Arabidopsis thaliana: one gene and its partner. The protein of the gene in region 2 interacts with the protein of the main gene of each other region in a pairwise test. Each region holds a gene or a part of one and is shown on either strand. Other genes may lie near its edges. The genes, in order: MNS1 and CGL1.

What was found.
Region 1: the proteins of CGL1 (region 2) and MNS1 come close enough for resonance energy transfer, tested with the Arabidopsis thaliana proteins (one study listed by BioGRID).

What each region holds. Positions count from the first base shown.
Region 1 is NC_003070.9:19,127,588-19,134,165, forward strand, and holds MNS1 (alpha-mannosidase 1), read right to left. Parts: upstream 4,732-6,578; 5' UTR 4,546-4,731; coding exon 4,387-4,545; intron 4,053-4,386; coding exon 4,005-4,052; intron 3,925-4,004; coding exon 3,763-3,924; intron 3,504-3,762; coding exon 3,391-3,503; intron 3,271-3,390; coding exon 3,205-3,270; intron 3,065-3,204; coding exon 2,890-3,064; intron 2,518-2,889; exon of another isoform or gene 2,350-2,517; coding exon 2,260-2,349; intron 2,118-2,259; coding exon 1,993-2,117; intron 1,900-1,992; coding exon 1,834-1,899; intron 1,740-1,833; coding exon 1,631-1,739; intron 1,560-1,630; coding exon 1,461-1,559; intron 1,383-1,460; coding exon 1,302-1,382; intron 1,222-1,301; coding exon 1,051-1,221; intron 947-1,050; coding exon 728-946; 3' UTR 557-727; downstream 1-556. Other genes in the region: AT1G51580 (RNA-binding KH domain-containing protein), read left to right, coding at 1-66, 192-297, 378-515; ZML2 (ZIM-LIKE 2), read left to right, coding at 5,589-5,894, 6,068-6,160, 6,250-6,383, 6,492-6,578. UniProt on the Arabidopsis thaliana protein: Class I alpha-mannosidase essential for early N-glycan processing. Progressively trims alpha-1,2-linked mannose residues. Produces Man(5)GlcNAc(2) from Man(8)GlcNAc(2), but only Man(6)GlcNAc(2) from Man(9)GlcNAc(2).
Region 2 is NC_003075.7:17,930,991-17,937,432, forward strand, and holds CGL1 (alpha-1,3-mannosyl-glycoprotein beta-1,2-N-acetylglucosaminyltransferase), read right to left. Parts: upstream 4,336-6,442; 5' UTR 4,220-4,335; coding exon 4,151-4,219; intron 4,047-4,150; coding exon 3,996-4,046; intron 3,783-3,995; coding exon 3,695-3,782; intron 3,555-3,694; coding exon 3,492-3,554; intron 3,410-3,491; coding exon 3,375-3,409; intron 3,282-3,374; coding exon 3,205-3,281; intron 3,128-3,204; coding exon 3,082-3,127; intron 2,990-3,081; coding exon 2,927-2,989; intron 2,848-2,926; coding exon 2,781-2,847; intron 2,715-2,780; coding exon 2,646-2,714; intron 2,532-2,645; coding exon 2,462-2,531; intron 2,357-2,461; coding exon 2,295-2,356; intron 2,194-2,294; coding exon 2,103-2,193; intron 1,988-2,102; coding exon 1,894-1,987; intron 1,664-1,893; coding exon 1,601-1,663; intron 1,526-1,600; coding exon 1,487-1,525; intron 1,388-1,486; coding exon 1,217-1,387; intron 1,133-1,216; coding exon 1,016-1,132; 3' UTR 580-1,015; downstream 1-579. Other genes in the region: CPK26 (calcium-dependent protein kinase 26), read right to left, coding at 62-111; AT4G38250 (Transmembrane amino acid transporter family protein), read left to right, coding at 4,543-5,853; AT4G38260 (transport/golgi organization-like protein (DUF833)), read right to left, coding at 6,087-6,248, 6,329-6,442. UniProt on the Arabidopsis thaliana protein: Initiates complex N-linked carbohydrate formation. Essential for the conversion of high-mannose to hybrid and complex N-glycans. Required for normal root growth and morphology.

The DNA of each region.
Region 1 (6,578 bases), on a different chromosome or scaffold from region 2:
TCCCGGTGGTATGGTTCCTCCTGATGTGAACCATGGATTTGCTTTGAGAAATGAGCCCATTGGCAGGTATCACTTTCCCGGCGCTGTCTTTGTTCACTTTAAAACTAAATGACTTTGAAATGCCAGAAACTGTACGAAGGAATTTTATCCACTAATTTCACATTATTGCCTTTTGGTTATGGTGTTGGCAGCGAGAATCCAGTAATGACAAGTGCAAATGTGGAGATTGTGATTCCTCAAGCATACTTAGGTCATGTCTATGGTGAGAACTGCAGTAACCTGAATTACATCAAACAGGTATGTTGCCGATAATATATGAGCAGCTGGTCATTTTGAAAGGCTGCATCTGATTACCGTTTGTAAACCTAATCAACTAGGTATCAGGAGCGAATGTGGTTGTGCATGATCCAAAGGCAGGGACTACAGAAGGACTGGTGGTTGTCTCAGGCACATCGGATCAAGCTCACTTTGCTCAAAGCCTTCTTCATGCTTTTATTCTCTGTGGTCAATCTTGATTGCTCTCTTTTCAAAGTGTGTACAATTTTAACATGATAGTAAAAAAAAGCTCTTCTACAAATCCAAAAATCATAGGAAACAGTAAAGTACCTCTACAAATTGCTGTGGCAAAAACGTTGTCCATCTGTTCTTTAAACTGATACAACAATGTGCCTCAAACTTTGTGGTAATATATAATAATATCAAATTCCATTTGAGCAGAAACTGTCTACTAAACGTTAATCTGATGACCAAACTTCCTCTGGCGTAGTGCTATAGTTGGCTTACGCGGATCATTCCGTGCCACAATCTTAAGCGGATGGGCTTCTGTGTTGAAAACCCACTCGTCTAATGAAATAACAGATGAAGGCGAAAAGAGAAGATATAGATACTTAAGAGTCTCAGCTAAGAAGAAGCTTTGCATCTTGTTGTCTTTAGCACCTGTATTGACCTGAAAATGAAGAAGCAAACGTTAACAACGTGTTTCCGAAAGATGGAAAGGCCCACTCGAGGAGGGTATCTGATTGGTTAAGGTCAGCCCGGCTCGAAACTTACATCCTTCAAGCCTACATATCCAGATTCTACGCGAGAGTTCTTCTCAAATGCTTGAAATATATTCCATCCCCACTCTTGATATGTCTTGTTCCCAGTTAATCGCCAGAGGTAAAACAGTGATTCAACGGTTTCTGGTCTTAAAATGTTCCAAGATGTGCCAACACTCATGTCCTGAAACAATCATGTGCTTATGGATACGACATAACCAACCAACTAACATACAAACAGATGCGCAAAAAGTATTTACCAACCTGCCCTGCAGTGAAGAAATAGTTCTCTCCAGCAAGTTTCGTTGGTGTCGATTGGTAAAAGTTATAACAAGTCCAGGCAAGCTGCAGTAAAGTGAGGGAAACAGCAATAAGGACACAGCAGAAAGTTATACTCAACATACAATTGAGATTCTAAGGCACCTCTCCAGCAAGTGAAAGAAACTTTTTTTCTTCATCAGGGCCATAACCTGAAGCTCCTAAAGCCAACATTCCAGGAGCAAAGCACGCCAATTCATCCATCTGAATGTTGAAATTATGTCAAAACCAACAAAATTCTCAAAGTAGAGAGTTGAAATTAGAATAGTTTTTACCTTATCAATCAAATTATTTCCGTTCTTCTCACATATATACGTAAATGATGAAGGTGTTGATTTCTTGACCAAGCTTAACAAACCTTTCATTGATTTCTCCCACATATCTCTGATTCAATACATTAAGAAAGATTTAGTCCTTATCCTTTATTGCTGATATTGAATTACTTGGGTGTATATACACAGCGTCGAGCTTTACTTACCTATAGGGTTTCACGGCAGATGTTTTGTTCCCTTGCACCCAAACTTTGAGCAAATACTCATAAAAGCTGTAAAACCAAATTATTATTAAAAGTTAGAGAGCAAAGTCATGGTCACAAGACCCGACCAACACAAAATGAAAATTTGGAGGAAGAAACTACCTATCTCCCATGGCACCAAATGTTGTGGTAGAGTACGATGGATTAGCATTATCCGGATTTATATAGATGGGAAGTAAACCATCAGCAGGAAAGTTCTTATTCAGTTCTGTAATAACCTTCTCTACCTGAGAGACATGAGTTAGCAAACGTGTCAATCTTGAGCAGCCAATATTTTCTTCAGCATTAATGCAGATTGATTGCCCACTTTTTCACACCGAGTTAGGATATAAAGAAAATCTGTTGGACAAACTCAAAATTAGTATCTACCTTCTGCTGATATTTTGGGTCCCCTGTCCTTTGGGAAAGGGCAATAAACTCGAGCTGCTCAGTGCCGGAGTCTGCGAGAATACTGTCTCCCTAGTAAAACAAAAAAAAAGTGTAGCAATCAGTAAAACTGACACAGCACATGTCCTCAATGAAACTGAAACATATCTAAACCTGATCACACTTGGTACTCATTTCAAAGACACTGCATATGATTGCTAGTGAATATATAGTTAGTTAAGAAACTATAGCTACCATAAACTCTAAACGTAACACCTGTTTAAAAGTCTAGACCCCAAACAAGAATGTTAATTGTTGCATACAGAGAAACCATAACTTGGCTGTTTCTGCCGAGTCCAGATCTTAGTTTTTATACGGGGTTGAATCATCTAAGAAAGTGGTCAGAACTTGGATTTAAGCTATCAAATAGACTCTAAGGAGTCCTTTAGAAACATAATCAGGAACCTAAGTCAACTACAGAACAAGTGCACAGAGTTTCAGGAGCCATTTTTTCTAGAAACGAATAAAGATTTGTATCCAATCATTGGATTCCAAGGTTAGGCTTTAAAAAGATCTACATGACACAAGATGACACAATACAACATACACGGCACTCAGTAATCTAGGACTCACCCCTGCCGCCCATGAAGGATTGTGAGCATTTCCATTTCTCAAGTTGATAATATTGTAAGGTATACCCGTTGGAGTATTCCATGCAGGCAATAATCTGTCTGCAATATCCTTAGCCTTTTCAAGGAACATTTTGTCCCCAGAAAGATCATACGCACTAAGAAGTCCGCCTACAACTCTGAAGGCAGATAAAGAAAAAGAATATAAGCAGATGCAATATCCGTTCCCCATCTTATGTCACCAACTGATAATCGCAAATAAACTGACTCTTCCTACGATAATTACAGAAAACAACCACAGTAAACCTGTTAAAGCCACCTTATGGTTGTCTCAAACATACTGGCGTCATAATCCTTGTCGAAATCCAATGAGCTTGCAACCCACCTGCAAATAAAAGACAATAAGCAAATGAAGATTAGCAAAGATGAAGAAGTAAAAAGTTGGATTTGCAACTGGGACGAAAACAGTTACATATGAATAAATGAAGAGCCTGCAATTACTCACTCTCTGGCTTTTTGAAACTGCTCATCTAGACCCATTATATAGAGTGTATCTAAAGAATCTACCATAGTTGCTCCAAGGCCACCAAAGCTATCAGTGCCATCTTTTGTCCGAGGCTGACAATAAAAAAAGGAAAGAAACAAGAATAGCTTCAGACCAATATTTTTTTTGCAGAGTTCAGGAAGAAAATAATCTTAGTTCTTAACAAAATCTTTGTAGGCCTGGTAACTTCAGATAAGCTCATAATAAAAGGCTCAACAGGATACTGGAAGAGCAGGCACTAAACGTCAAAATAAAATTTGATTCATAGAGTCCGTCGTAAACTAGATTTCGTATTCACAAGGGTGAAATGTATTTTGGAAAATAATTGTATACCTGAAGCTCATCTTTCCCCCATGCATACTTTTCATAAGAGCTCCAAGCATGGATCATTGCCTCTTTTACTTTCTGCCTTCGCTGTTTATCAACTGGATCTTCTGGGGCATCCTTCAGAGTCTTCAAAGGCTTATTGCCAACACCACCATTAAGCTCTTCTAACTAGCGGAAAATATAGTTAGTTAGCTAAAACATTAGAAAGACTATCTGAGCCTAGAGTGAGGGGAAAATATTAATCTTACCATCTGCTCCAACCGTGAAACTTCTTCATTTAGCTTAAAAACTTCAACCTGCAAGACAAAAAAAAGCAGGACAAGTGAGAGAATGATCACAAGAGAAATTGTTCACTTCCTTGACATTTTTCTTATTTTGGTTACATAGCTTCTTATAAACGAATACATGAATTGAGTCCAGAAGATATTAATTACAGCTCTTTTCTAGTAAATAAAACACCAACTGTCTTACTTATAGACCTTGAGCTATGAAGGCAATCAAACCATTCCAGGCCTAAACCATATAACCTACTTCACCAAAATTCGAATTGGCCTACCAATAAGCTATGATACAAGAACTATCTCCTACTCCTAGGCAGAGTCTAACCAGATTTCATTAGACAAAACATACCTCATGTTCTCGGGCAAGATTAATACGATCCCAGACAAGCATAGAAACAGAGACGAAGACAATGAAAAGCAAAGCCAAACGTCTCGGTCTTCTAAGATAATACGCAGGATTCAAATATTTCCATATCCCATAACCACTAATCGATCTACTTCTCGCCATCTCTCTTCTCAACCCACTCAACAAAAACAGAGACCAATTGAGAAATCAGTGTCCATGAAACAGAGCAAGACAAAAGTTAAAAGCTTTTAAATTTCTGATCCGAAAAGAGTAAGAAACCGAGAGAGAAATAAGTCTCTCAAAGAACAAAAGTTATAGATCCGATTTTAGTAGTTAGAAGGAGGAAGACGAAGAAAGAATTAAAAAACGAAACTTTACCCAAAAACCAAAAGAAAAGTATTTATTTATATCTCCGGCACTTTTGCTTATTTATTCTTTTGATGATAAAATAATCAATCGAGTCTCTTTAGCCCCCACTGGTTCGTCTCTTTCTTCGATTTCTCTTTCTATCTGGTTTCCATTTTCGTCTCGTTGGTGTTCTGGTGGGTTTGGTTTGTCTCTGTTCTTCTATTTGTGGCGTTATCCATCGGTTCAATTGTCATCTTCATCGTTTCCGTCGTGTTATTTGGTGTTTCTCGTTTGGGTCTTTCGAACATCTTTCATTCTTCTCTTTTTGGTGTTGCTCCCCACGAACAGGTAACATCATCTTAACTCTTATATTGGTTTCGTGTGTCGTAATGAGGAACCTATATTTCAATGGTTTTGGATGTCGCTTTGTTTCAGGATTTGCTTTTGTTTCTTAGGGTTTATTTTGTTTGTTGAAATTATAAGTGAGTTTGTGGAATTGGTATAATATGGTTTATGTAAGGCTTAGAGCGTGGAAATATTGAAACTTTGGATTGAATCTGATTGATGCAAATATGTTAGAAGTCTGTGTTAATCTCTTGAAAACAAGCATTGATCCATAAGGTTTCCTGAATTTATGTATAGTGTTAGTTAGAACTTATATGTAAGTTGCTCCAATGACCGAGGAAGTAAGGTTATATAGTATGTGAATCATGTTTTGCTTAGAGCTGATTTGATTTGTCTGGTCATCCATGAATCGTGCTTATGAAGATTAGGTGTTTTTGTTTGAAGTTTCCAGTTTTAATGTTAATTTGTTTTACTTTCACTGTTATCATTAGGTAGATTGATGAAAAGCAACCATGGATGACCTACATGGAAGCAATGCTCGAATGCACATTAGAGAAGCTCAAGATCCAATGCATGTGCAATTTGAACATCATGCTTTGCATCACATCCACAATGGAAGCGGTATGGTTGATGACCAGGCTGATGATGGCAATGCTGGTGGGATGAGTGAGGGTGTGGAAACAGACATTCCTTCTCACCCTGGAAATGTAACTGACAATCGTGGTGAAGTGGTCGACCGTGGTAGTGAACAAGGAGATCAGTTAACATTGTCTTTTCAGGGCCAAGTCTACGTTTTTGACAGTGTCTTGCCTGAGAAGGTGAGTTAAGTTGTTACTGAGTTGGTTCGTTGATTGTCTCATTCCATTAGAATTTATATTCTTACTCCAAGCCACATTTTAGCAAGTGGTTGAAGGATCTAGTTAGCTTTGAGTTTTTTCCATCTATTGATTCTAATGTGTGAGTGCCTCTTGCTATTCGACGCCTGTTGCAGGTTCAAGCTGTGCTTCTATTATTGGGTGGTCGTGAATTACCTCAGGCAGCCCCTCCTGGCCTAGGATCACCTCATCAGAACAACAGAGTATCGGTAATAAAATATATGATGGCATTTATGGGACATAAGTTCCCTTCCTTGATACATTGCTTGACTGACTGACTGACTAATCAATGAAACAGAGTTTACCTGGTACTCCTCAAAGGTTTAGTATTCCGCAGCGATTAGCTTCTTTGGTCAGATTTCGAGAGAAACGGAAAGGAAGGAATTTTGATAAGAAGATTCGGTATACAGTCCGCAAGGAGGTAGCTTTGAGGTACATTGATGTCTAAATCAACAACTTGGTCTAGTTATACTTCTTTTATGGTTGCTCTCCCAAAATTAAGGTTCGCATCTTGATTACTTTTTGTTTTCTGGTATACAGGATGCAACGCAATAAAGGTCAGTTCACATCTGCCAAGTCAAACAATGATGAAGCTGCATCTGCTGGATCTAGCTGGGGGTCGAATCA
Region 2 (6,442 bases):
AGAAGTGGTTTGGCTTGTAAAGAATTGCCCATCAAACAAATCCCTTACCAAGTTAGTTCACCTCCCCTTCCAAATTAGTTTGCCATCAGAGGAAAACAGAGCAAGTCCCATAGCAAGATCTGAAACATTATACGAATTTAGCATAAAGAAATCGCAATAATAAGGAGAGACATCAAAACAGGGGAATTAGAGGAAGAGATGGATGTGTACCAGACAAAGATGATAAGAATGGATGAAAATTAAGTCAGATTGGTGCAGATCCGATGATACACATTGTTGAACATGGTTTTGCAATATTCTCGCCAACGTCTCCACATCCTGACTAAAAATAACAAAAGAAGAAGATATCTTTGATTAATAGTCATCAACAGATCTGTCTCTTTAATTAGAATATTCTAAAAATGCAGGGGAACTCCACAAGGCTCTTTTCTTAGGCCTACTTCACATGAGACAAATCAAGACCTCCAATTGGTCGCATCGGAACAAACCTTTAATGATCCCATGGCCTCAGATTCTAGTTGACGGGTTATACCAGAGAAGATGGGTCGAGTGCCTTGATTGGCTACTCGCCAAAGATGTAATAAAAGTTACTTCTTTGAAGCAACACGCATTATTTAGTACATGTTTGAAGAGATATGTACACTAGCAATAGAGAAGCCAAAACAAGTGGGACGAAGAAAAACTGCATAGAATGATTTGCATTCGTATAAGTTACCCACAAGATAATCACTAATAAAACAACTGAAATATATTTAACCCTGACCCTTTCAAGGGGTTCCCATAACTTCTAAGCCAATCAGCCAGGTCACCAGAGCTTCCTTGCTGTTAAAGTTAACCCCACCGCTCGACAAACTCATCCATAAATAACAATACAACCTAACAGCTGCTAGAAGGAGGCTGCATGCGGTCCAAAATCTTCTTTTCCTTTCATCTGCTTGTGAAACCCGGTTAGCACAGAACTGTAAGCAATGGTTAAGATGTAAATGATGCTGGTTGGAGAAGTACATGTTTTGCATCAGGAATTTCGAATTCCAAGCTGCATTACAGAATCTGGCCCAACCAGGAATACACGTCTTGTTGTCTGGATTCGAAACACCACTACTCCTTTATATGCTGTTCGAGGCACACCATCCTACACAATCAAAGGGGTACAAAAAAAGTGACCCATTTGGACCTACAATTATTGAAGATTATAGTTCAATCATCTCAAATTTACCTTCCATTCTTCAAATATACCAAATTCCCCTGCAATGCGTTCAAACTCTACTTGGTCTTTATACCGGATACGAACATCATCCTTTATGTTTTGAGCCTTTAAGACAAGGTCAGAACCTTGAATTGGTCGTGCTTGTCTCACTAAGCCAGAAAAGTACTTGGTATAGTTTCCCTTTGATAGACATGAGAGAACAGGTTAAAAACTACATTTCTCCACTCAAAACATGCAAAATGGTATAAAAAAAAAAGGCCGGAGTTCTGTAAATGTTACCTCTGTCAGGTATCCCAGGTCCTTTGCTTTCCAGTCAACCTTTATGAATGAAATAGGAAACCAGTGAAAACTAGTGATGCAACAAAAGGGGGTAAAAAACACACTTACGCTTACCGTCACATCGTTTAGCTTTATAGGTTCCAGATACTGACTGAAAAACTGTCCCAAACTAGACCCCTGCCAAATTAATATAACAAGGTTATGGATAAGTATGAAATGCAAAAATATATTATGTGGTATTGACTGTCTACATCCATGTGTCGGGAAACTATAGGACGAAGCTGCAATAATACATTTTTCATACAGAAAGCAGAAGTCATATGCAGCGAACATAGGTCAATTTAACAGCATTACAAAAACAGACTTGTAAAACTATGATATATAGGATAGCATAATCGGGTACTAACATGTTCACCAAAATTGTATGTTCTACAGACTTCCGGTCGAATGAATTGGCGGCCTTTATGGTTTTCCTTTAGTCTCAGCCAATCATCCCAGTAAGTGGATATTTGTTAAGAAAAGTCTTAGAAACGTCAAACTATTTTTTTTTTTAGAATTTAAGAAGCGTCAAACTATAGTCATCGAGATTGAAAGAAAAAAAAGCATATAAGGATATGCCTTTGGCCACTTTGGTGATAACTCATCCCAAGTCGATCTCTTGAGCATCCACCCAAGGCCAGGAAAAAAATCTGATCGGTATAGCGCATCTGCAGATTATTTTAGCTCGCATGAGCTAGACATAATGAGGTATTGAAAGAACAGGCAAGAGAGGAAGCAAGGTAAAGAAGAAGAAGAAGAAGAATCTTACAGGGATCATGCACAAACTGCTTCTGTCCATTATCATTCCATGATGAAGCAGCCATAATGGTTCTAACACATGTTTGGACCAGAAAAGAATGAGAAACAGTAATAAAAACATTTGTATACTCTGTGGAAACTTATACTATAAGAGTCTAGCTTCAGTAGGTAACATACTTATCCCTATCCATGAGACTAGCTGCAGCCTCAAAGTAATCAAAGAAGTCTGGAGCAATTTCCATATCATCTGTTAAAGAGACAAGATAACCTCTCTTAAGCAATACTCCACAAGGTAAAGACAGCCCCTCTTAAACAATACAACAGCAAGGTACGATGAGTGTGAAAGGTTAAAAAGCGCCACCTTCTAGTATAATCACTCGACTAAATTTGTGTTTGTAAAACAACTGGTCCAGTGCCCACTTGTAGTGACCTGTATTAAAAAGTGTTTCAGTAATGGAGCTGGAGGGACGCAGAGAAAAGAGAAACCAGTCCTTACGTGCAATCTTGTAGTACGCAGTCAGTTCGCCAGGCCTTTCAGTGACCACTGGTTCAAAATCCAAGTGCTGAAAAGGGGAAAACGAGCCTTCATCCTCATTTATCTACTTGAACAGTGAGGAGAAAAATCACGCTAGATTAAATTACCTGCATATATGTTAATTGATTATAGCTCAATGACTTGCTCTTGACAGCTTGATCAGATCCATCCTGTCAGAAAATATGTCGTTGGAAAAGACCATGGTTAGTAATTCGTTGAATATAAAACAGTCTAAGAGACCACCACCCTGCAAATTAAGTACCTGAGATATAAATAGAGGATATTTTGAAGCAACGGGAGTTTGATATCTGTATAAAAAAAGAAATAGCCATTAGATAGTTCAATCAAAATGTGGTATAAGAATTAAATCAGTATAGTATCTCACGTTAAAACTGATTTAACAGTCCTTTCAAGATAGTCTGCACGACTGCAGGCCATAACCACTACAGCAGCCACAGGCATCTGCTAAATAAAAAACAAGAAACAGGTTAGATGTATATATATAGCAAGTGATAGCAGTTACAAATACGAAGAAAGGCATCTTCTTATCCAGACCTGTCCACCTTGAGTGAGTTTTGCTATTCCTTTTTCTGGAGGAAGAAAATAAGCATTAGTAGAAAAACTAATAAAAAGAAAGCAAGAAAATGAGTTTTACAGGTGATAGTAAGGCACTTTCAAACGTCTGGATTAGATCCTTAAGCTGCACAAGTTCTTCGTCCTGGCGGTTCTTCATATCTACAAGACACTCAGAAATCAATGTATAAGTCTTCTACTCCATTTAGAAAGTTAATTTTGTATAGTATTCAATAGGTTCCAAGAACCATGGTCATCTAGGATTCCACAAGTCCCAATGAGGAAAGAAGAAGGGGATATACCTTCGAGGGCAACAATCCGCGACTGTTTGATGCTAACTTCATCTATGAGGCCTCGCATTTGACTAGTGCAATGGTTCTCAGATTCGATCTGGAGAAACAAATGAAAGGCTGTGTATAGATCTTCATCACACACCAGGAAAAAATCGAAATACCAAAGGCAATGATATGGTGTAATAGTGCAGATAGTGTCTTCTTCTTGAAAGTAGTTCATGGGCTTGTAAAGAGCCAAAAAATGGGATTTCAAAAGGAACTAGTAGCAATGGTCTAAAGACAAAAGGCAGTGGTAAAAGTAGAAACTCACAGCGGAACTGAGGCGATCTGCATACTGTGATTGCGTCTGGAAAAGCCTCATCTAGAGAAGAGAAGAGAGGATAATTACAGACAGATTTAGGTTGCAGCGATGGAATCAATTTCAGTTTCAACTTCAAAAAGCGAGATCATCGGATATAGATTGACCTGGATGTAGATGAACATGAAAGCTGCCGGGATGAGAAGAAATCTCAAGTCACACGAGATCCTCGCCATATCGACGACAAACAACCAGATCAAAACCGGTGGATCTTCTGGTGTTTGCCGCCGGGAGGGAGCTAGCTAATAAGGAAGTTGTTTGAAACGGCGTCGTGCGTTATAACAAAAACGGTACCGTTTCCCAGTAAAAATGATAAGATGACCATTTCATTTCATCCATAAATAGAGCCGAGCTTCTTCCTCTGTAAATCTCTGACAACAAACCAAAAAAGAGAGTCCACCAACTCTACACGCAATTCATCCAATTATCTTGCTGTCGCCATTCGCCAATATCCATCCCCATCTTCTTCGATTTCTGAGATTCGGTCGAAAATCATCAGATGGGTTTTCAGAACGAAGCTAGCTCCTCCTCTTATACCCTTAAAATACCTCCACCGGCCAGAGAGGACTCGCCTCTTCTCGGCAAGGGACCTCCCCTCTCCAGCCAGTTTAAGACCTTCGCCAACGTCTTCATCGCTGTCGTCGGCGCTGGTGTTCTTGGTCTTCCTTACGCCTTCAAGCGAACCGGATGGCTCATGGGTGTCCTCCTCCTCGTCTCCGTCTCTGTTTTGACCCATCACTGTATGATGCTTCTTGTCTATACCCGCCGCAAGCTCGACTCTTTCAATGCTGGCATCTCCAAGATCGGCTCTTTTGGTGACCTTGGATTCGCCGTCTGCGGCTCCTTGGGGAGGATCGTCGTTGACTTATTTATCATTCTGTCTCAAGCTGGTTTTTGTGTCGGATATCTTATCTTCATCGGCACTACTTTAGCTAATCTATCCGATCCTGAATCGCCCACCAGTCTGAGGCATCAGTTTACAAGGCTGGGTTCTGAATTCCTGGGCGTGTCTTCTAAGAGTCTCTACATATGGGGATGCTTTCCCTTTCAGCTCGGTTTGAATTCGATCAAGACGCTCACTCACTTGGCTCCTCTCAGCATCTTCGCCGATATTGTTGATCTTGGCGCTATGGCTGTGGTCATTGTTGAGGATTCCATGATTATACTCAAGCAAAGGCCTGACGTGGTTGCCTTTGGTGGTATGTCCCTCTTCTTGTATGGTATGGGCGTCGCTGTCTATTCCTTCGAAGGCGTTGGAATGGTCTTGCCTCTTGAATCGGAGATGAAGGACAAGGACAAGTTTGGCAAAGTCTTGGCTCTCGGCATGGGATTCATCTCTCTCATATACATCGCATTTGGTATCTTAGGTTACTTGGCTTTTGGTGAGGACACCATGGACATTATCACTGCTAACTTGGGGGCAGGACTTGTCAGCACTGTTGTCCAGCTTGGACTGTGCATCAACCTCTTCTTCACCTTCCCCTTGATGATGAATCCAGTGTTTGAGATAGTGGAGAGGCGTTTCTCACGCGGGATGTACTCTGCGTGGCTCAGATGGGTACTCGTCTTAGCAGTGACTCTGGTGGCTCTTTTTGTGCCAAACTTTGCAGATTTTTTGTCATTGGTTGGCAGCAGCACTTGCTGTGTGTTAGGCTTTGTGTTACCTGCATTGTTTCATTTATTGGTGTTCAAGGAAGAGATGGGGTGGCTGCAATGGAGTTCAGACACAGCGATTGTGGTACTAGGTGTGGTTCTTGCTGTGTCGGGAACTTGGAGTTCCCTGAGTGAGATCTTCTCTGTCAAAGTGTGAGCGTCCGTGAAGTCAGAGATTGGAGAGGTTTTTCTCTCCTTGTGTGCAATTATGTATATGGAATTGGTTGTGGTTTTAAGAGTAACTGTGATTGTATTTGTATTTTGATGGTTTGGAATAAAAGAGATCAGCTCTGTCTTCTGTTTTGTGTTTACATGTACAACATATGTGAGAGTTTTGATTTCTCAATGTTACAAGCAAGGGAAGCTCGCGAAATAAGCCTGGCTAGCTAATCAAATGCTTTGGTTTTGTATTATTACAAACTGTTGAGTGTGTTCCTTCCATGAATCGCCTTCTTCAAGATGCCTCTCGTAGAAGCAAATCTCACCATCACCACCACCATCTCCATGGGACTTGACGATGATCGCAGAGATGCTTCTGGTCCCATAACGCCCCTGTATCTCCATGAGTGAGACTGAATATTTATGGAAAGTGTTAAACAAACAATCAATGTACTCTAAAAAAGGAAGGTTACAGTTGGTCTCTGCATGTCGACGAAGATGGAGCTGAGATGGTATTCCGTCTCTGGTGTGAAAACGTGAGGTAGCTCGGTTTCTTCGTCCTTGACAGTATTGGTCATCACCTCCTC